Cricetulus griseus: one gene and its partners. The main gene of each other region encodes a partner of the protein of the gene in region 2 in a complex. Links are inferred from orthologs where the notes say so. Each region holds a gene or a part of one and is shown on either strand. Other genes may lie near its edges.

Region 1 (7,735 bases), on a different chromosome or scaffold from region 2:
AAACCACTGAGCCACTCTTTCATCCTCTATGTTTATATTTTGTAGGTTTTTTCGTCTTGTAGTTTCAGAGTTTCAAGTCTACAGTAAAGTCACCAAGAATTTTTTAAAATTAATATTCTGCCATTTAAAAAATGTTTCTTATATCTAATACTCTGAAGGCCTAGTTCTTTTTAGTCTTTATTTTCTTTATTTCTTTGTAAATGTTAATATTTGTGGGAGCATTTGTGTGCCATAGCACACAGGTGAGAGTTGATCGATCCTTCCACATTATGGACTCAAAGGTTGGAACTCAGATCATCAGACTTGACAGCAAGCACCTTTAACATGCTGGCCCCATATTTATTTATTTATTTATTTATTTATTTATTTATTTATTTATTTATTTATTTATTTATTTATGTTTTTGTTTGTATGAGAGGTTTCTCTGTGTAGCCCTGGATGTCTCGGAACTCACTGTAGACCAGGCTGTCCTTAAACTCAGATCTGACTGTGGGGATTAAGGGCACCCCTGCCCAGTTCCACTCCACTCTTGGATTATTTTTGAGACAGTGTGCTTAACAAGAAAATTATAATTTGTGTCAGGGTGATAAAGCAATATTATCTGAAACTTGTTTTTGTTTTTTTTTTTTTTTGGTTTTTCGAGACAGGGTTTCTCCGTGGCTTTGGAAGCTGCCCGAAACTTGTTCTTATAGATACTTGAACCCATTGAATGAAAATTAAAGGAAATCCTAAAAATATTTTGATAAATAATACCTAAGTAATTTCATGTGTGATCTTCAAAACTTTAAAGGAAAGATGACATAATATGAGAATTTTCCTTTGGTACCATCAAATCATTTTAATTTTTTAGAGCCTGTCCCAAAGAATTAAGAAAAAGTTTTTAGATTTATTTATTATTTTTGACAAAGTCTCACTATGTGGCCCTGGCTGACCTGAAATTCACTCTGTAGACCACGGTGGATTCAAATTCACGGAGATCTTCCTGCCTCTGCCTCCTAAGTTCTGGGATTAAAGGTTCATATCACCTTTTAATTATTTCTTTTTTTAAATATTTTTTCTGACATTCTTTTTTTTAAACATTTATTTACTTATTTTTATTACATATACAGTGTTCTGTCTGCATGTTTGCCTATACGCCAGAAGAGGGCACCAGATCTCATGATAGGTGGTTGTGAGCCACCATGTGGTTGCTGGGAATTGAACTCAGGACCTCTGGAAGAGCAGTCAGTGCTCTTAACTTCTAAGCCATCTCTCCAGCCCCTGCTTTTAATTATTTCTATTGTGTGGGTTTCCATGGGTATGCACAGCTAGTGTCCCAGAGGCCAGTGATATCAGATTTCCTTGGAGCTAGAGTTATAGGTGATTGTGAGCCACCCAGCGTGGGTGCTGGGAATCAAACTGAGGTCCTATGCAAGAGTAGTGCACACACTAATTTGCTGAGCAGATAACAGCTGTTAGAGTGCTTGTCTAGAATGCATAAGACCCTGGGTTTGATCTCTAGCACCACATAAACCAGTCATGGTGGTATGTGATTTATAATATCAGGATTGAAGAGGCAGAGGCAGGAGGGTCAAAAGTGAAAGAATATCCTTAGCTGCATAGCGAGTTCCCAGGCCAGTGAGATGTTTCAGCAGGCAAAGGTGCTTGTTGCCAGTTCTGACAACTTCATTTTGATCCATGGGACTCACATAGGGTGGACGGATAACCAAATCCTGAAAATTGTTCTCTAACCTCCACACACACACACACACACACACACACACACACACACACACACACAGACACAAATATTCATGTATGTACTAAGTAAACTAAACCCCCAAACAAAAAAACTTACTTTTAGAATTTATTTTACAAATTCTGCAGTCTTTTAGGTTTTGGGGAGATGGGAGTTATGCTAAGCATATATCCTTCATATACTTAGAATAAAATCCTGGAGATTCGAGTTGTTCTCATGTATATCCTTCATCTACTAGGAATAAAATTCTGGTACTAGAATATCTCTCAGTGTTAAAACAGTCAAAACCAAAACCAGTGTTAAAACCAAGCATTTTTGAGGCCTAGGTTTTATCCCTACAGCCCGAAAATAATAAAATCATGAACTCTTCCATCAGTCTTCATGTTTGCCTTTTCTTGATGTTTTCTATTTCTAAACTTTCTTTTTTTCTTTCTTTCTTTTTTTTTTTTTTTGGTTTTTTGAGACAGGGTTTCTCTGTGGCTTTGGAGGCTGTCCTGGAACTTGCTCTTGTAGACCAGGCTGGTCTCCAACCCACAATGGCGTGCGCCACCACCTCCCGGCCTATTTCTTAACTTTCATCTTGTGAGTTTCTTCTAAAAATATAAGTCTTACACATTGCTTTTTTAAACAGTACTGTGTAAATGAAAGCATTATAGAAATATCAGTCATTTTCCTATTATGAAGATGGTAGATTTCTGAATATACTCTTACAAAAATGCTTGCCTTTGAGAGCTAGAGAGAGGGTTCAGTGGTTTAGAGCACTGGCTGTTCTTCTGGCAACCTGAACTTGATCCACAGCACCCACATAACAACCATTCTCTAACTCCAGTTCCAGAGGATCCGATGCCTCCTCTAGCCTTTGTGAGCACCAGGCACAGTCGTATGTGTAGGCAAAATGCCCCTACATGTAAGATAAAATAATAATAATAATAACAATAATTTTAAATGCTTGTCTTTAAAAGTTCCTAGGCAATGAGTGCTGTTACTGAAGAATTTTAAGTGCATATTTTAATGCCCTATGGTACATATTTCTTCCAACCGTTTTCTGTAATTCAGCTCTGATGAACATACACCAGTAGAGGATGAAGAGCCAAAGAAAAGCACTACTTCAGCATCGAGTTCAGAAGGTAATTTTGGAAAATAAGGAAGTTACTACTTCACAAATTTAAAAAGTATGTTTATAAATAATTGAACAGTAGACTACCAAATAGCTATTCCTTTTCAGTATCTGAAATATAGTAAGATGTCCAGAAATACTTCTGAGGAAGTTCATTTTTCATTTGTACTTACAACAGATGACAAGAAGAAGAAAAGGAAATCTAGTCATTCAAAAGAAAGATCCAAGAAAAAGAGAAAGAAAAAGTCATCTAAAAGAAAACATAAGAAGTATTCTGAAGATAGTGACAGTGACTCTGAATCTGAAACAGACTCCAGTGGTAAGAAAGCTGTAGCGTTCTGCAAACCCCAGAGTGCATTTTAGTTGTTAAAAATGTTGCGCTTAAGGCTGTATTGTTTGTGCATCATATGTATTCCCTCTGCCTGTGGAGACCAGAAGAGGGTGTCAAATCCCCTGGAACTGGAGTTACAGACCACCACGTGAGTGCTGGTAGTTCTCTGGAAGAGCAGCCAGTGGTCTTAGCTGCTAAGCCATCTCTCTACCCCCTCAGCTTTTTAAAAATGTGTTGAATTATAACCATAATTATGACCATGTTAGTTTTCTGATTACATTTAAATTTTTCGTATTTATTTAATTTTCTTTCTTTCTTTTTTTTTTTTTTTGGTTTTTTGAGACAGGGTTTCTCTGTGTAGCTTTGGAGCCTATCCTGGCTCACTCTGGAGACCAGGCTGGCCTCAAACTCACAGAGATCTGCCTGCCTCTGCCTCCTGAGTGCTGGGATTAAAGGTGTGTGCCACCAATGCCCGGCCTTATTTAATTTTCTACAGTTACGTATGTGTCACTTGGTACAGCAGGCCCTCTGCCTTTAAAGCTAGTCACTCCCTGTATCCACCTTGGCTTACATAGTGCAGCAATGGACATGCAGTGCTTTTTTTTTCAATTTTTTTAGATTTATTTATTTATTTTACATATATGAGTGCTCTGTCTATCCTGCTATAGATGGTTGTGAGCCACCATGCGGTTGCTGGGAATTGAACTCAGGTCCTCTGGAAGAGCAGTCAGTGCTCTTAACCACTGAGCCATCTCTCCAACCCCATGTAGTACTTTTGTAATAAACTGATTTCAAAAACTGCTAGTCACTGCTTCCAGGTTAACCATTCCTTAATTATCTTTCCAAATAAGTCATGTTTTTAATTACACTTTAGTCATTTCTTTTGTGCACGTGTGTATGGATATGGATACGCACACCTCCCGACATGCATGGAAGTTAAGGAGTAACTTGAGTTGAAGTTTCTCTCCTTCCATCACGTGGGGCCTGGGGATTGAACTCAGGTCTTCATGCTCAACAAAGCACGTTTCCCAACTGAGTCATCTTGCCAGTGCATGTCTCGCTGGTTTGCAGACTCCTCTGTCTCCTCATGCCCCATGCTTTTCTCTGTCAGCCCATATTATGCTCATTTCATTACCATCTCACCTCCATCCCACTGAGGTTCTGGGAATGGAAAGCATTCTCTTCCTCTCCACACAGAGTGGGTTCTTTTGGTTTTTCTTTTTCTCACTGTGAAACTTTAACAATTCTTAGGGAAGTAAAGGGAATAATGTAATTATCATCATTATCATTATTAGTTTCTGTTAGCATTTTGACATATTTGTGTAAAATATGGGGGTAGGGGAAGTTGCTGATCTATTCAGAGTAAGTTCCTTGACTATCATTCCAAGAATATTTCTATATGCACTCCTTTGAAATAGGACTTTTTCCTACTTAACCAATGCCATTGGTGCAATGAATAAATTAATGATATATAATAAATAAAGTGATTCCCCATATTATTAATACTTAGTGTGACTTTAACTTATTTACACTTATTTATTGTATGTCCTTATGTGTATGCACTCATACATGCCACAGCCAGTGTGAAGAGATCAGAGGATAACTTACAGGAATCAGTTCTTTCCTTCCACCATGTAGTTCTGAGGCTCAAATTCAAGTCATCAGGTTTGACAGTAAGCGTTTTACCCACTGAGCCATCTTGCTGGTCTATGATTTTAATTTCTTTGACTCCTGCCCCTAGTATAGTTCCTGGCAAATTTCAATAAACGTCAGAATGAATAATTTCTCTGCAGCAACAAATGAACATTTGCAACAGTAGAATATTTACCTGTTAAAATATTGGAATTTTGAATGTCATTTTTTTCAATAATATGTGCTTTAATTTTCAGATGAAGATACAAAGAGAAGAGCAAAGAAAGCTAAGAAAAAAGAAAAGAAGAGGAAACGGAGAATGTAAGTTTTTCTTTACTTTTTGTAATGAAAAAGTTTAAAATACTTATAAAATTATGTAAAATAGTATAATGATCCCCCATATACATACCCAGTGTGACTAATTATTCTCTCATGGGTAGTTTCCACCACTCTCCAATTATTTTGATACTAATGAGAGCTATCATTCCTTCCATAAATAATTCGATAATTTAGTACCTTTCTCTAAAAGGTATTTTTTTTAAAATAGAAAGATGCTAACTTTTATTGTGCCTACATATTTAACAGTTGCTGGGCATTGGTGGCACACGCCTTTAATCCCAGCATTTAGGAGGCAAAGACAGGCTGATGACCACTACACAGTGAGTTCTAGGACAGCCGGGTCTACATAGAAAAACACTGTCTTAAGAAACAAACAAAAAAAATGGACAGTCAATTCTCTGTATTTTTTCCCTATAGTTTATTTGAATCAGAGTGCAAATAATGTCTGTAAATTATAGTGGTTATTGTGAGTGAATTAGCATGCTTTCCTGTCTTCTTTCTAGAGGTAGGCACGGTTCAAGTTGGAACTTTGGCCAGGACTACTTTCTAGGTGGTGCTGTGTACACCATCAGTAGATGGCTACTGTCTTCTCTCTTTTTGTTATATTAACAAACACTACTGGTCTTTGTCAAGGTTCAGTATGTTATGGAAATTGAAAAACGGTGGTAGTTTACTTTGAATGCTGCTATTTAAACATATTTGCTGTATTTTAATCCATCATACTGAAAATTTTTATTAATGTTTACATTGGTGAGAACTTATTTGGTTTTGTGGGTTGTTTTTGCATTTCATTTAGTTTTTGTGAATTTTTTCTGTATTTGGGATTGTTTGCTTTTATGTTCTGCCTGTACATATCCCTGCATGCCAGAAGAGGGCACCAGATCTTACGCAGATGGTTGTGAGCCACCATGTGGGTGCTGGGGATTGGGGATTGAACCTGGGTCCTCTGGAGGAGCAGTCAGTGCTCTTAACCTCTGAGCCATCTCTCCAGCCTGTTTTATGTTTTCATAAGAAAGATTTATTTTCCTTTAAGTGTATGTATGAATCTGTGTATGCACCATGTATATATAGGTACCTGGAGAGGCCAGAAAAGGGTATCAGAGCCCTTGGAGCTGGAATTACAGATGGTTATGAGCTACCTGATGTGGGTGCTGGCATATGAACTCTAGTTCTCTGGAAGAGCAGCAAGCACTTGCAACTGCTGAACAATCTCTTTTTTGTTTGTTTGTTTTTTGAGACAGGGTTTCTTTGTATTGCTTTGGAGGCTGTCCTGGCACTCCCTCTGTAGACCAGGCTGGCCTTGAACTCACAGAGATCCACCTGCCTCTGCTTCTGGAGTGGTGGGATTAAAGGCATGCGCCACCAACGCCCAGCAGGGCAGAACAATCTCTTTAACCCTCGTATGTTTGTTTTTTGAGTTAGGGTCTAATATACCCCAGGCTGGCCTTAGGCTCACTGGATAGCATAGGATTTCTTTGAACTCTTGATTCTCCTGCCTCTAGCTCCAAGGTGCTAGGATTACATGTAGCTAGTCTTTCTGTATCCCACTAGCCAGCTCCCAAATGATGACACAGACATTTTTTATTAATTATGAAAACTTGGCTGACAGCTTAGGCTTGTTTCTAACTAGCTCTTAGAACTTAAATTAACCCATTTCTATTCATCTACATGGTGCTACGTGGCTGATGGCTTTCACCTCTCTTCCTGCATGTTTCACTTCCTCTGCATCTGGCTGGCGATTCTGCCTTCTTCCCAGCATTCTCTGTGCCCCCGAAATCCTGATTTGCTATTGGTCATTTAGTTTTTTATTAAAGCAACCCAAGTGACACTTCTTTATAGTGTATAAAAAGATTATTCTACAACAATTACAGACATAAGCTTTCACCTCCTGCCTGAGAGTTAGGCTTTAAGCTATTTTATTTCCATTATCTTTCTACATGATAACCATATTTACTTGATTGTTTAGTCATTTCTTGTTAATGGTAAAATAGTACTTGGTTAACTGAGAAGATTGAATCGAAATGTTTGAATAAGCTGGGAATTCAGATAATTTTAATCAACATTTTCATTCCCTTGAAATTTGAGCATGCCTGGGGTTGGAGACCTGGCTCAGCAGTAAGTAGCACTGGCTGTTCTTACAGAGGACCCATATGGCAGCTCCCAACTACCTGTAAATCCAGTTCCAGGGGATCTGACGCCCTCACAGAGACATACATGCAGGCACATAAATTAAAAAAAATTCTTAAAAAAGAAAACTGAGTGCTGGAGAGATGGCTCAGAGGTTAAGAGCACCGACTGCTCTTCCAGAGGTCCTGAGTTCAATTCCCAGCAACCACATGGTGGCTCACAACCATCCGTTATGAGATCTGGTGCCCTCTTCTGGTGTGCAGATATACATGGAAGCAGAATGTTGTATACATGATAAATAAATAAAAAAAATCTTTAAAAAAAAGTAGAATCTTCAATTTACCTTTAAAAAAAAAGAAAACTGAAAATGCCTTTTAACATGAGAATACTTAATTTGTATTAAATTATAATCCATTCAGGAAGAAATACAAGAAAAAGAAGTCTAAGAAGA
Region 2 (8,456 bases):
AATTCTCAGCGCCTACATGGCAGCTCACAACCATCTATATAATGAAATCTGGTGCCTTCTAACCTGCAGGCATAACACCATATACATAAATCTTTAAAAAAAAAACAGAAAACAAACAAAATCCCAACTGTTAAGGTTTCCAGGTAGAACATTCATATTTGTAATTTATAAATTTTGGTTGTAGAACTGACATATAAATTGTCTTTATCTTAAATCCTCATTTTTAGAACAATTCAAGATCCTATATTTTTATTTTGCTTTCAGAACATAGTTTTAGTTCCCTGCTTTTATTTTTAATTTCTTAAAATTTATTTTTACTATTTATGTGCATGTATGTATGTGTCTGTCTGTCTGCCATAACTATGGGGGTGTTTAATTAATTCAGAATCCGGCATCAAACGCCCTGAAGCTGGAGTTATAGGAGGTTGTGAGGCATCTCAAGTGCGTGTTGGTAACTGAATTTAAGTCTTCAGGAAAAGTGGTGAGTTATCTTTAATCGCTCAGCTATCACTCCAGCCCAGTTTCCTTTTTTAATAAGACCAAATCTTAGCATAGTTTTATACACGAACATACTGCCATTTTAAAACAGAACAAAAATATAATGAATATGAATAAAATAAACATAAATTAATATTTACTGAAAGGAAAACGAAGCAGGGTATGGTAATCTCAGCATTGGCAGGATGAGCTAGAGTTTAAAGCTCTAGCCTGTGCTACATAATTCAAGAACAGCATAGTGAAACCCCGTTTCAAAACGAACAACGTGACTCAGGAAACAAGTTCACCATGGAACACCTTGAAGGTTCTTCTCTTCTCAAGATGGGAAAAAGTGACCCTGTTTTTCTTTTGTGCCTTTTCAGGAGGCTCTCTGAAAGTTCTGATTTCCCATTTACAGTGCCCAAAGTTAGCTACCTTAGTACTAACATAGGGAGGCTATTTATTCTCGTCCTCTTTTCTTCCAGGCTCATCCGTAAAATAAAATAAAACACCATCTAATAGTGCTGCTTTGAGGATTGACTCAGTATGACCCTGCAAGGGAAAGCCCGGCTTGGGGGTGCATGCGTGTATCCAAGTTTGATGGATACATGGACCGGGTCACAAATAAGACATGACAAAATTACCTGGAACACATTTGACCCTCAAGCGAAAGCTGTCACTGGTTTTAAGCTGGTTTATACTTATCCTTGCTAGAGGACTAACAGCCACACCCAGACCACACCCTAGGACCACCCAGCCGCTGCGAGTGGCTCGCTCTCTGGGATAGCGGCAGCAACTAAGAGATCAGCACCCGGAGAGGAAAGCCCTTGGCCCTAACGTGTTTTCATCATTCACGATGTTTGTTGAACTTCTCTCTGCATGGCTGGAAATAACCGAAGAAGCTGTATGTCGTGGCTCACGCCTTTATTCCCAGCTCTCGGGAGGCAGAGGCAGGATGATCTGTGAGTTCCAGGCCGGCCTGGTCTACTTAGTTCAAGCCAATGCTAGAGAGTAAGACCGTGCCTCAAAAAAACATAACAACCGGAAGGGAACAGCCTCGCTTCTTGAGGCGCCAACAGTGTATTCAGTGCTTTCGACAACACCAATCTTTTGAGTCTCACAAACGTCCTACAGTCGCCGCGAGGCTTGTTACTGTCTCCATAAACCACATGGAAACTAAGCTCCAAAAAAAATATTTTTTTTTAAGTATTTGCAACTGGAGTCGAAGTTTCCAGTAAGTGCTGGGCTCCAATTTCAAGACCTCGGCTGCTCTGCGATGCCTGCGCTCGGAGCGAAGCTGGCGCGCAGAGCCCACAGGGGCCCCGCACCGCGCGAGGCTCGCGCAGAATTCGGCTTACCTCAGCTGCGCACGCGCGGACGCCGGGTTAGCCTCCGCCGCTACCAAAAGCAATCGCCGGAAGCGAAGGGGCGGGCCCAGGAGCTAATCGTCGGAAGTAGCCACCTTCGACATCGGAAGTCCTCGCTTATGCTCTCCTTACAGTTCCGGTGACGCTCCCGGAGTTTGTTTACGTTCCTCGCAGACCCAGCGGCGGGCTTCTCCCTCTCGGACTCCAAGATGGGGAAGTCGTTCGCTAATTTCATGTGCAAAAAGGACTTCCATCCTGCGTCCAAATCCAACATCAAGAAGGTGAGTGAAGGGATCCGGAGAGGGCAGCGAGGTGCCGAGCTCCCTGGGACAGTTGTGTCCTCCGCAGGCCTGGAGACGTCGCCCCGTTCTCCGTGCTAACCCCACATACCGAGTGGTCCCCAAAGTCCGGCCCTGTCAGTCGGGGTGGATTCCGGGTCCGAATCCCAGAGCCCTAAGACGAGACCCGTAAGCTCTGCTTCCCTGTGTGAAGACTCACCGCTTAAACAGGTCTCTCAAGGGAAAACCACCCCTGCTTTCACTACCCATCCCACATCTGCATCCCGTAGGGTCGTGTCTGATGGCCGCATTCAAGTTCAGCGTTTAAAAAAAAAAAAATTACAGCTCAACCAAGTGCTGGACACAGGACAGAGGAGAGAATTACGGCGGAAGAATGGCGACGGGGAGTGTCGTAGCCTTGGGCTCAGACCAGGATTCTTGATAGATCAGGACAGTCACGTTTAGCCTTGAGGCCTCGCACAAAATGTTTAATGTCATTATCTTCAGCCTCCTACTTTACTAATTAAAAATGACAGTGTCGGTTGCCCTAATGTGTAAAATTGTCAGGAAGATTAAATGAGATAGTGTGGGGGAAAGAATAGAAACGGGAAATGAAGGCTTAGCACTGTGCATCACGGAAAATACTCAGAAAGTACACACAAGCTTGTGAGAATATATTGAGCTTTTAGTTGTTTCTAAGCCAGTCGTGAGTCCTGTATGTTACCATGTTATGTAAAAATAAGCGTACATGTGCATTAGAATATCTGTGGAAGAAAATACAAGAAGTGCTAACACGAGTTATTTGTAAATATAGTTACTTCATTTTTTCTTTGAGACAGGTTTTCTCTGTGTAGACCAGGCTGTCCTCGAACTCATAGAGATTCACCTGCCTCTGCCTCCCAAGTGCTAGGATTAAAAACATGCTACATAATTTTAAGTCACTCCCTGCCCCCCAGAATCTTGCTAGGTATTTCAATCTCTGCCTTATCCCTTGACCTCCCCCCTTGTTCTGTTTATTTTGTCCATACTCCTATTGTCCACATGTCTTTTACACTTTTCATGGTCTCTTTTTTGAGTTGGGGTCTCCTCTTGCTATCGAGGGTGAATGGCCCTGAACCCCTGATCTTCTTGTCTCTGCCTCCCAAATGCTGGGATGACAGGTTTAAGCCACTGCACTTGACTTTTGTATCTCCTTCTTAAATCGTGAAATAGTTTATAATGTGCAGAAGAATCCTATGAGTGCTCTGGCAATGGACCTGTGTTTTATTTTTATTTCAGTTAATGGAATATAAGTTCTTGAGCAATTGAGACTATTTAAATAACAGTGAAATATAAAGCTTGAGATACACGGTAATTTCTCTTTTGTGTGTGTGGGAGGGGGCTGTTTTTTTTTCAGACAAGATCTCACTGTGTAGCTCTGGCTGGCCTGGAACTCTTAGTAGTCCTACCTCAGCCTCCTGAGTTCTGGGATTGCAGACATGCACCAGCATGCCTGGCTAACCATGTGTGGTTGATTATAGAAGACAATGGAGCTTCCAGGACTATCAAGATGGCTTAGTGGATAAAGTGCTTGATGCACAAGTGTGAGGTTAGAATTTGGTTTCCCAGTACCCACATAAAATAATAGTGGCCCATTTGTGATCTTCACCTTCGGGATGGAGACAGGAGATCTTCATGCAAGTTGGTAGCTATACTAGTATAATTGTTGAACTCTGGGTTCAGTGAGACCCTGTTACAATAAGTCAAGTGGAAAGTGACTGGGGAAGATAATTTGTTTTAAACCCTGTACTCCATACTCACAGGCACATAGTACATACATGCAGACACGAATGTATATACACACAAAACAGACTTCTTATTTAATTCAGTTGTTAAATTATATTTTGTTTCACTAATATAGGTATGGATGGCAGAACAGAAAATATCATATGATAAAAAGAAACAAGAAGAACTAATGCAACAGTACCTTAAAGAACAAGAGTCGTATGATAACAGGTAAGTGCCACCTTTTCAGTGTTTTTAGTATAATCATTTGCAATATTGAGTCAGCTTCTCTGCCATAATTATACATGGTCACCTTTTCCAAATTTACCTATTCTTTACATAAAACACAGCTTCATTGAGTCATCCAGACTGTTAGCAAGTCCCACATGAGACAGCTTGCAGAAATAATAAGCTCTGCATGTTAACTACTAAGCCTGATTAGAAAGGTTTCTTTTAAATACACTGGAGTGAAAGATACTCAGGACACTTAGAAGAGAAAAGCCGGGTGTCTGTGCGCTGTGGCTAGAGTCCATTAGCTTCTTCCAGGATGGTACATGCCTTTAGCTGCTTTCAATGTGCTTGTATTTGGTTAATTGAGTAGTGGTGTTTTGGTTATATAGACTGTGCTCCGAAACATTTGTTTTTGAAACATTTACATTGGAAACTTGAGACATTCATCAGTTTATGGGTATTTGGATCACGCTATTAACATTAGCATATCGATATCTGTTCAAGACTGTTTTCAGTTGCTTTGTGTATGTGCTTAGGAGCAGAACTTCTAGATCTCAAGGTAATCCTTTTTTAGTTTTTTAAAGAACCACCAAACTTTTCCATAGCCTAAGCTGATCTTGAACTTCCTGTGAAGTTGAACTCCCAAATGCTGGCATGTGCCACTGTACCCAGTGTATGTGATGGTGGGAGTCAAACCCAGGGCTTGCTGTGTCAGGCCAGCACTCTGCCTCTGCCAACTGGGTTACATCTCAGCTCATTTAGTAATAACCATGCTGATAAGTATGAGGTGGTGACTTGTAGTTTGATTTCTATTTCTCCATTTCTAATAAAGCTCAGTGTTTCATGTACTTGATTTATAATTTTTAAATGGTGCTAAGACAAAATTTACACATCTGTTTAATATACATATAATGTCCAATATACATGGGTTTTTTAATTTGTTTGGTGTTGCTAAGCCATCACCATATCGAATTTCAAAACATTTCATCACTTGAAAAGGAACTGTATTCATTAGTAGTCATTCCCCATTTCCTAATTTATCCTATTTCTGCCTTTCACAAGTCATCACCATTTTATACCTATGAATTTTTGTGGAGTTATGGACTCATAAGGCAGATGATAAAATGGTCTTTTGTGACTTTTTTTCTTTACATTTAAAAGTTACACTTATTTATTTGTTTATTTAGTCAGTTTGTGCCTGTGGGTGGGGCATGAGTGGAGGTCAGAGGGCAACTTTCAATAGTCAAGTCTCTCCATGTGGGTCCCAAGGAACAAACTCAGATTCTCAGGGTTGGTGGTAAGCACCTTTACCCGCTGAGCCATCTTGCTTGCCCACACCAGGAGAGCTTTTATCTTGCCCTGCTTGCAGTGCCCCGGGCATACTTCATGCTAACTGCATTAGCCTCTTGGGCTTTGGGAGATAGTTGAGGAGTGTCAACTAGCACCAGAGTGTGTGCCCAGTGTCAAGGGCTTTCACGACTGGCTAATTTTTTAAATTTTTAAAAATATATTTTCTTAGGCCAGGCAGTGGTGGCTCATGCTTTTAATCCCTGCACTTGGGAGGCAGAGGAAGGTTGATCTCTGTGAGTTTGAGGCCAGTCTGGTCTACAGAGTGAGGGCTAGGATAGGCTCCAAAGCTACACAGAGAAACCCTGTCTCGAATATGTATGTATGTATGTCTATATATATATATGTATATATGTGTGTGTGTGTGTGTATTTACTTATATATATATGTATGTATGTATGTATGTATGTATGTATGTATGTATGTATGTGGCATATGAGGACCTTGGTGCACATGTGAGAGTCAGAGGCAGTTCTCTCTTTTCACTGTGTGGGTCCCAGGGATTGAACTCAGGCCGGTAAGCTTGGGTGGCGGCAGCTTTGGCCACTGAGACATGTGACTGGCCCCTGATTTCTTTCATTTAGCATATTTTTGAAGGTAATCTACCACATACATTAGTACACATTCCTTTTAATTAAAGAATAATGTTCCACAATAAAGATATATATTTATATGTCCTTTTGTTTTGGTTTTTGGTTTTTGGGTTTTTTTGGGGGGGGGGGAGAACTGGGAGTATAGAGTCCAATAGAGAAAAACTGAGATTTGCTTACAATAATGTATAGCATATCCTTTGTGATTGCCTTTTCCAAATACAAAGACGTTTCTTACTTACACTTTAGCTTTTGCTAATATTTAACTTGGATTTTACAGACTTAACATTAAGTTGGTGTAGCCATCCTGTTTGTTGTGGGCCTTTTACCTAAGAAACCCAACAGCAGCACACTGTACACAGAACCTACAACAGAAGTTTCAGTCACTACCTAAGATTTTTTGAGTAATAGTCATTTCTGCCTTCAGTATATTAGCCAATTGCAGAATTTTGTTAATTTTTTTCCTTGTTTTCAGAAAAAGAAAAAATTGGTTCTTAGGGCCTAGGAGTTAGCTCAGCTTGTAGTGTTTGTCATGAAAGTAAGAGGACCTGAGTTTGGATTCTAAACCCCCACATAAAAAGCCAGATGGTTAGTGCTTGCCTGTGATCCCAATGCTACAGAGATAGAAACAGGAAGATCCCTGGCCCTTGCTAGCTAGCTATTTAGTCCAATCATTGAGCCGCAGATTTAGTAAGAGACCGTGTCTAAAAAGTAAGGTGGAGGGCTGGCCAGATGAGTAAAGGTGAATGCAATCCGTAAGACCCACATAGAGGTAGAAGCAGAAAACAGTCTACATGCATGCAAACATGCTTCTACACACATCACACATAATAATTAATTAAAAATAAGGTGAATAGTTGAGAAAAACACCCTACTTCACCTCTGACCTCCACATGCATGTGCGTGCGCTCTCTCTCTCTCTCTCTCTCTCTCTCTCTCTCTCTCTCTCACACACACACACACACACACACACACACACACACACACAATTAAAAATACTAAAATAGCTGGTGGTGGCGGTGGTGTGCACCTTTAATCCCAGCAGTCTGGAGGCAGAGGCAGGCAGATCTCTCTGAGTTGGAGGCCAGTCTGGTCTACAGAGTGAGTTCCAGGACAGCCATGGCTACACAGAGAAACCCTGTCTGGAAAAACCAAGATGAAAAGATATAAAATCACTTTAAAAAGAAAAGGTTGTGGCACCAAAATATATGATAGCACATAGGATTTCAAAACTATTTCGGCAGCATTTCATAGTGATTAAGAAAATTCTGTAAGAGTAACCATGCCATCTTTTTTCCTTTCTCATTGGGAGAGCTAGAGGGAAGAAGGAAGCCGAAAAGTTACATCAAGTTCCTAATAAGACAGCACTTTTTGGGCTTTATCACTAATAAAAATATCTTCATTATTTTAGGGTTATTCTTTGAGAGATGTTATGCTATCATGCTCTTCCTTTTGTTTAAAATTGTACCGTTATTTCATTTAGATTGCTTATGGGAGATGAGCGTGTAAAGAACGGCCTGAATTTCATGTATGAGGCCCCACCAGGAGTTAAAAAAGGTACTTGCCTTGTTTCCTTTAAGCTTTAATGTGGGTATGTATGAAGGTTGAGAAGAGCAAACAGGATTTTAAAGGTTATTCTTTGCCTTTCCCATTGATGTTACTCTGTGATGATATCAGCTCAAATGCTGTCATCTCATGGTAGAATAAACACAAAATATTTTCCTAATGTGGCTTATGTCCTTTGTGGGAGGGAAATGTTCAATATTGCAGAAGTATATTCATCCTTTTATAATGTACACATAGCTGTAATCCTTACTAAATACATTTTCAAATGGAAAGTCTATTCACTGCCCGTGAAAAACATAAATGCTTAAAAATCATGATACCTATTCTGGACTCTAGTGTATTTTATCCTTCAGTCATTTGGAGTTATATCTTATGATAAAAGAAAAACTAGTTGATCCTTACAGGTTACGGTTAAGTAATACAGCATAATAAGTAGTAGACTTTTTCCACTGACATTGCTAACTTGTCCTGCTTCTCCCTCTGCTTTGAACATACAATCAAGAAAACAAAGAGGTAAGTACTCTTCTCTGTTTGAATTGATATATGGTTGACTGCGATTTTATGGAAAATTAAAGAATTTTTACTAACTCTTGTAGAAAGAAGAAACAGAAGGAGAGACGGAATACAAGTTTGAATGGCAGAAAGGTGCTCCAAGAGAAAAGTAAGCACTGGTTTGTTACTAGAGAAAACATGTTTGTATCATGTCTGCAGTCCTTCCTGCCTCTTGGTTCATTGACCAGGGCAGTAACTAACTGACTTACCGCAGACAGACAGCATGCTTCATTCTGGCCTTGATTCGAGAACTTGTTTGCTTTTTAAAACTCTACACAATCAGA
Region 3 (6,920 bases), on a different chromosome or scaffold from region 2:
GCCTCCCATGGAGATATATTAATAGATGCAATGAGAGGATTCGTATGACTGTTTTGGGAGGATGATTAAAAAAAACAAAACAAACATGATATTAGGCATGGCAGTTGCATAATATTGTGAATACACTGAATACCACAAAATTATGTACTTTGGCTGTATATTATGTAAATTTCTCTTCAATGGAAAAATTACATAGCAAAATGGGAGGTTTTTTAAAAAAAAAATTGTAGCCTTTTCTTAATTTGTTTTGGTTCCTAAATATTTTTTAAAGTCCCCCTACAAATTTAATACTCTTTCCTTATACAACTCTTATGACAAATTTGTCTTCTTCTCTTGATGCTGTTAAAAATAACCTGTACCCATGTAAAGATGAGTTTCCATTTACTCTTTATTCAGAGACAAATAAGAAATTACTAGTGAATACATAACATTAAAAACTAAATAGCACAGGAATAAAACTTTATAGAAACTGCTTTATACTACAGCTCAGTGGGTACTCAAGCTTGGTGAGATTCTAGTTTTCAATGTAAAAGAGCCACTCTTTTAATGTTTAAATTGATATGGAAAGGGCCCAGGAAATGGCTCAGCGTGTGAAGATGCTAGCCCAGTGAGTCTGATGATGACTTGAGATTGATTCCCTGAACACATGTAAAAAACTAGATGTTGTGAGCCTCTACAGCAAGATAGGAAATAGAGATAAGGAATCTCCTAGAAGCCTGGGGCCAGCTAGCTGGAATATACCATGCTACAGCAGAAAAAAAGACTCTGCCTCAGTAGGTGAGAACTGGCTCCTGGAAGTTGTCCTCAGACCTTCGCCTGCAGCTTGCACCTTAGTTTAAAAGACCTTTTAAAAATTGCTTTAACAAGGACTTAACTTCATTGGCTAATCACCACTCAGAACCCTATTCTTCAGGGTTATTTTATGATTTTATTATGCAAATAAGTATAAGAAACTACACCTTTAATTCTAGCACTTGGGAGGCAGAGGGAGGTGGATCTCTGAGAGTTCTAGGACAGTCTCCAAAGCTATAGGGAAACTGTTTCCGGGATGGGGGATGGGGGAGGGGACTAAATTACTAGTTATGATACGTTGATCAAATAAGTTTCAAGCTCTTTTCACAAGAAAAAATTTTATAGGGAAAACCATGATGTAGCTGTTTTATTCAAAAATGAAATCATAAGGATTAGGTAAAAATATGGGAGAAATATTATTTTCAAATAAACACTGACATCTTGCAGGTATGTGGTTCATTTTTATACAGCTAAGAAAAATAAATTGTTCCAGAAGGCTCTGGGACACTGCAAATAAAGTTTCCAAAATGCCTAGAATTGTAGCTTCTACTCACCAACAATGTTCTAAGGACATTTTATTTTTATTTATTTTTTTTAAGATTTATTTATTTGTTATGTATACAGTTCTGTCTATATGATGCCTGCAGGCCAGAAAAGGGTACCAGATCTCATTACAGAAGGTTTTGAGCCACCATGTGGATGCTGGGAATTGAACTCAGGACCTCTGGAAGAGCAGCCAGTGCTCTTAACCTCTGAGCCATCTCTCCAGCCCTAAGGACATTTTAAATGGTGCTAAGAACCAAACACCAGTTGCTTTATTTTCTATAATCAACACTTGAGAATAAGTAAACTTACCCCTAATTAATCAGTACTGCAGACACTGTCAGTGGCTCTCAGCTGGTGGTCATTTTTTTTTTTTTTTTTGTCACCTGGGCACCTTTGGCAGTGTCTAGAGGTAATTATCATTGTTACATCTCAGAGCTACTGGCACTTAACAGTAAATGTCATGAACTGTGTGCGCTCATCTTTCTACAACCCAGGACAGCCTCCCATAGCCAACCATCACAGGTCCAAATGTCAACCTTGAGGAACTTTGAGCTGTGTTAGTAGTCTTATCCATTTCCAGCCTAAAGTTTGCAACCATTCTTAGAACATTTTTCCTGGAGCTGCTTTCGTTTTTTGATGTGACAAGCTATAAACCTGATTTGTTATGCTGAGCATTTAGCCAAGCAATAAAATTCCAAGAGAAATAGATGTTAAAAATGGTAAAAAACAAAACAAAACAAAACACTGACAATGAAATATAAAGCAACCCCAACCCTTAAACAAAGAGCTCATTACACATGCAGACTTCTCTAATCTCAGACAAGGTTTGGTTCCATTTTGTTGAGACAAGGTTTGCTCTGCAGCCAGGTCTCTAACCTGTGATCCTCCTGCCTCAGCCTCTAGAGGGCTGATTATAAACATTCACCACACAGCAGTTTAATTAACATGGTTTGAATTTGCAAAGCAAACATTAAAGAATGTGAGTTATTTTCCATGAATTCTTATTTCAACTCTGAGCAAGCGCTGTGCTTACCTTTGCTGGAATGTAGGGTGTCTTTGGAAAGAGAGAGGCACAGAAACTACCTGTTTTTCTTCATATGCCTTCAAAGAATAATAATAACAATGCAAAAGGGAAATTTAAAAGTAGTTAAGAATCAGTGGAAGTCTAATTTTTAAACCTGCTAACATACACTGTGAAGTATTTTAAAAAAAAACACTGTTAGCCTGAAGTAGAGCTTGCCTTTAGTCTGAACACTTGGGAGGCAGAGGCAGGTGGATCTCTGAGTTCCAGGACAGCCAGAGATACCTGTCTCAAAACCAACAGACGCCCCCCCCCACCCCACCACCACCACCACACACTTACTTACAAATCAAATTGATCTAGGGAAATTACATTTATCTGTTGTTTCTCCTTTACCTTTAATTACTTGGAATTTTCAAGAAAAATTTACAAAATAAGGATCTTTACCTGAAACCTTAATACCAATTCCTGAAAGCTTAAAACAAAAACTAAGTTTCACAAAATAAATACACTGAAGCAGCTATAATAGTAATAACCTTTATTTAAAATAGTTTTAATTTAGGAAGCTCATTTCATATGAGTTTCCAACTAATTATTAGAATCAAAACCAAACAAAAAAAGCCAAAGAAAATCCTCTGTAGAAAAAATACCCAAGAACATTTCTACATATGAAAAACAGTAAACATTCTTTACAGCCAGACATCTATGTGCTAGTGTGAATGCCATCTCTCCTAGTGAACACCACTGTCGACCTTGAGATCTGATTTGTTCTTGTCATTCTTCACTGAGTAGATAAAATATGTTAGGGTGTCTTTTTCATTCACTGGAATAGACCTAAAGTGGCAACCAACTATCTACAAAGAAAAAAACAAATTAAATGTTAGATGCAGCAGATTCTGTGAGCCAGGTAAAAGGCACAGTTTAAAAAAAAAAAAAAAAAGGCACAGTTTAGGCCATGTGTTATATGGCCACAAGAGATTGTCTTTTAAAAATTAAGCTGTTTTAACAAAATATGAACAGGCCCCAAAGCACATTTAAAAAAAACAAAATATTATCAACAAAGGACAGTCTGATTTCAAAGGACCCTTTAGTCTACTCAATTCATATGCTCTAATTCTAAGTATTTTACTTGCTTTGGTCCACTGGTTATAAGTATTTTTCCCTTTAAACTTAACAACTTATAAAGTACATATTCTTAAACATTAAATATCAATGACATAAAACAAAAGAGCCAACGTGCATGTCGACTGCATTCACAGGAAAAGATTAATGTAAACAAAACAACAAAAACCCTTGGTAACAAACTATGATATCATATACAATTTTGGTGCAATTGATATTCATTCTCCCTAAGTTTCAGCAAAATTTTCTGAGTAAGATTTAAGAAAATTAAAGGAGCTAGAAAGACGCTCAAGAAGACTGCTTCCCTGTCTTTTCACAGCACAAACCAAACATGCACACTGAGCTACCAACACGAATAAGAAACTGAGCTGCTAATGTGTGCACTCCGATTCCAGAAGATGGCCTGTTTTTCTAGAACAGAAAATAACTCTGTACTAATTCAACTGTTTTTAGAAGACCAGACTTTAAAGTTGAGATTTGAGTTATAAACTATATGATGTTATATCATACAACGTTTGCATCAGTTCTTGGCTCCTCTCTGTTACAAAACAGGGGCGACCATACTTCATTAATGTCTAGTATATTTCATCATAGTAGGGAACATCTTTATGTTTATGTACTGTGCCATGGTAAAAGGACTAGATCTTTAAATAAAATTTGAAGAAAAATTATATTTTTGTCTAGGCAAAAAATAGAGGAGAAAATTTGGCTAGTTAGCATATTGAATTTTAATAATGTAAAAGAACTTTCTACAAAGAATTGCAACTTGTATTTATCTTTTATTTAATATGCACATTAGAAATGTAGGCTAACTACTCAAGTCAAACCCAAGAATATGAGAAAACTCATGTAAACACACACACACACACACACACACACACACACACACACACAGAGAGAGAGAGAGAGATTTCTGTCCTGTCTATTTAGTGGAAAAGTTTATTTTACATATAAAGTCTAATTATTTAAATCTGTAAATACTTTAAAGTGCACAGATTTTGTGGCTCTATTACTTCTTGAAAACACACACACACACACACACACACACACACACACACACACACAGCTAATTTCCAAAGCACTCTGAAGGAACCAAAGTCCTATACAAAATAAACTTTAAGTAAAAGCTTGGATAAAATCTTTGCTCTCTCTCGATGTAAAGAAAGCATCTTCTACTTAAAAACAACAACTACTAACAAAGACAACCTGAAAGTAAAACTAGAAAGTTAGGAAGTACTGCTTCAGGGTTCATCTGTAGGCCTATCCCAGAGAAGCTTTGAAAACTAAATTCTGATAAATGCTTGTAAGCTTATTTATTTGTTATGCCTCAATTAGGTGTTCAATAAACAGACATTGAATAATTAGAAACCTAAAACAGATTTCTGAAGTGATTAAAAACTCACTAAATACTTACTCTGAGAAATCCCTATTAAAAAATGCTGTAAGTGGATTTTCTAGGTGACAGACAGTTGTTTCTAAACCACTATATGCACACCATGATAGACCCATTAACTCTGACTTTCTTAGACATTAGACATTTACCTATTTCATCATCATTTAATCACAACCCTTGTTGGTGTGAACAGGTTTGTTTATACCGTATAAAAATTATACATACCTCAACAAGTTGTGCTTTATTAAGGCCTGGTCTGGTTGGAAGCTTGAAGTGTCTTTTGTATCTTCTAAGTGTATTTACTTGTAATTGGTACAAATCAACCTAGAAAAAAAAAATTAAGATGTAACATAGTTCACTCTGCTGAAAAGATATCACTGATCTGTAAAGCAAAGGGCAATGTCCACTTCAGCACAAGAACAATTTCTTTTCCACAGTCAGATCTAGAGTTTATTAGTTTCACCTTTTGGGGATACATAGTGTAAGCTTTTAGAGGAAAAAAAAAAAGGAAGTTATAGGTCAAGGGCTACAAGAACTGTCACCTGAGATTTAATAGTAGTATAAATGCATGTTTTATTCTATTTACTTATTTATTTTTGGTTTTTCGAGACAGGGTTTCTCTGTGTAGCTTTGTAGACCAGGCTGGCCTGGAACTCACAGAGATTCGCCTGCCTCTGCCTCCCGAATGCTGGGTTTAAAGGCATGCACCTGCACCACCACCACCACCACCCAACCACCCGGCTAGTATAAATACATGTTAACTGATTGTATTTAATTTTGAGATTTGTCAGATGCTTTAAACATTTAAAACTTAATTCAAATATTTACATAAAGGCTTTGGAATTGCCAGCATGCTTATGATTTACATTTAACATAATAAAACTTTGCTCTACCTCTGGAGTATCGATGTCCTGAACAGGTGAGTCTCCTCCATCATCATCACTCCCTTTCCTCTTTCTTCTGTTTCGAACACTCTGAATTAAGTTTTTATGATAATCACAAATATAAAGATGTCTTGCCTGAAACAAAGTTTCATAGACAGTGAATACAGAACAATGCATCTCTGTGTTAGTAAAACACATAGGCCCAGATGAATGACTGAACAGTCTAAGCGGGCCACTGTTAAGACAATGTAACGTTCCTTTCCAAACCGGTTACCTGACTCTAACATTAGCAGTCTGGCAATACTGTTTGTGGGAGAGGGGAGGGGAAGGAGAGTGGTACCATGGGAGAAGGCAGGCAGACAGAGGAAGAGAAATTCCAACCCTCTGGGGTTTGTCATCAAATTGCATTGAGGATGACCTAAATAAATTAGCTCCCGTTGATTTTGAAGGTACAAGGGAAGAGGTGATAATTTTCTCTAATCTGAGAGCAGCAAATCATATTAATGCTCCTAATGTTAGGTATATGCTTCCTAATCTTACTAATTAGTCAAATTCCACACAGATACTAACTAGGCATTTTTACAAATGCGCTATTGAATTCATATCCTATGTTTAAATTTCAAGTACTAACATTTCTTTGTAAGAATTAAATGAATGTATTTATCTGTACTGTGTTGCTTTCAATTAAAGAACACAGAAATTATTCACATTCACTTGCAACATTTCTCATGGGTCCTACTGAAAAACGGCTTAAACAGAAACACAAACTTTTCAAACAATTACACAGGCATTTGAGAGTTACATAATGAGCGATTGGAAATACTGAGCTGATTGACAGTCTCCCCCTCCCCCCTTTAAGGCTACACAATTAAGGGCCTTTTAAATTGACTACTAAGCTAAGAGCAAGTTAAAAAATATACAGATGTGTGGAGGCTCTGTATCCTCTTCTTCATTTGCCACCAGCCAGAGCTCTGGAAAGTAGCAAAGGATCTCTCTGAAACCTCATAGCTGGCCCAAAGAGCAAACGTGCATAAAGACGGGAAAAAAAATCCCGATGGCTGCCAAGTGGGCTGTAAAACCACTGAGGATTATTTGCAGCCTCGGTTCGGAGCAGCTGCACGAAGAGCTGACACCGCAAACACCGTTTACAACCACCTCCCAG

The links.
Region 1: Cir1 (region 2) and Nkap share a complex: the UniProt entries of both Homo sapiens proteins name them as parts of the notch corepressor complex. The link is inferred for Cricetulus griseus from reciprocal best matches to the Homo sapiens genes CIRSR and NKAP.
Region 3: Cir1 (region 2) and Sap30 share a complex: the UniProt entries of both Homo sapiens proteins name them as parts of the histone deacetylase complex. The link is inferred for Cricetulus griseus from reciprocal best matches to the Homo sapiens genes CIRSR and SAP30.

Annotation. Positions count from the first base shown.
Region 1 is NC_048604.1:29,364,418-29,372,152, reverse strand, and holds part of Nkap (NF-kappa-B-activating protein), read left to right. Parts: intron 1-2,794; coding exon 2,795-2,865; intron 2,866-3,033; coding exon 3,034-3,174; intron 3,175-5,075; coding exon 5,076-5,139; intron 5,140-7,703; coding exon 7,704-7,735. UniProt on the Homo sapiens protein: Acts as a transcriptional repressor. Plays a role as a transcriptional corepressor of the Notch-mediated signaling required for T-cell development. Also involved in the TNF and IL-1 induced NF-kappa-B activation.
Region 2 is NC_048599.1:101,832,915-101,841,370, forward strand, and holds the start of Cir1 (corepressor interacting with RBPJ 1), read left to right. Parts: upstream 1-1,948; 5' UTR 1,949-2,053; coding exon 2,054-2,125; intron 2,126-4,022; coding exon 4,023-4,117; intron 4,118-7,537; coding exon 7,538-7,611; intron 7,612-8,122; coding exon 8,123-8,133; intron 8,134-8,216; coding exon 8,217-8,281; intron 8,282-8,456. UniProt on the Homo sapiens protein: May modulate splice site selection during alternative splicing of pre-mRNAs. Regulates transcription and acts as corepressor for RBPJ. Recruits RBPJ to the Sin3-histone deacetylase complex (HDAC). Required for RBPJ-mediated repression of transcription.
Region 3 is NW_023276806.1:235,752,242-235,759,161, forward strand, and holds the end of Sap30 (histone deacetylase complex subunit SAP30), read right to left. Parts: intron 5,894-6,920; coding exon 5,768-5,893; intron 5,199-5,767; coding exon 5,100-5,198; intron 3,214-5,099; coding exon 3,091-3,213; 3' UTR 2,881-3,090; downstream 1-2,880. UniProt on the Homo sapiens protein: Involved in the functional recruitment of the Sin3-histone deacetylase complex (HDAC) to a specific subset of N-CoR corepressor complexes. Capable of transcription repression by N-CoR.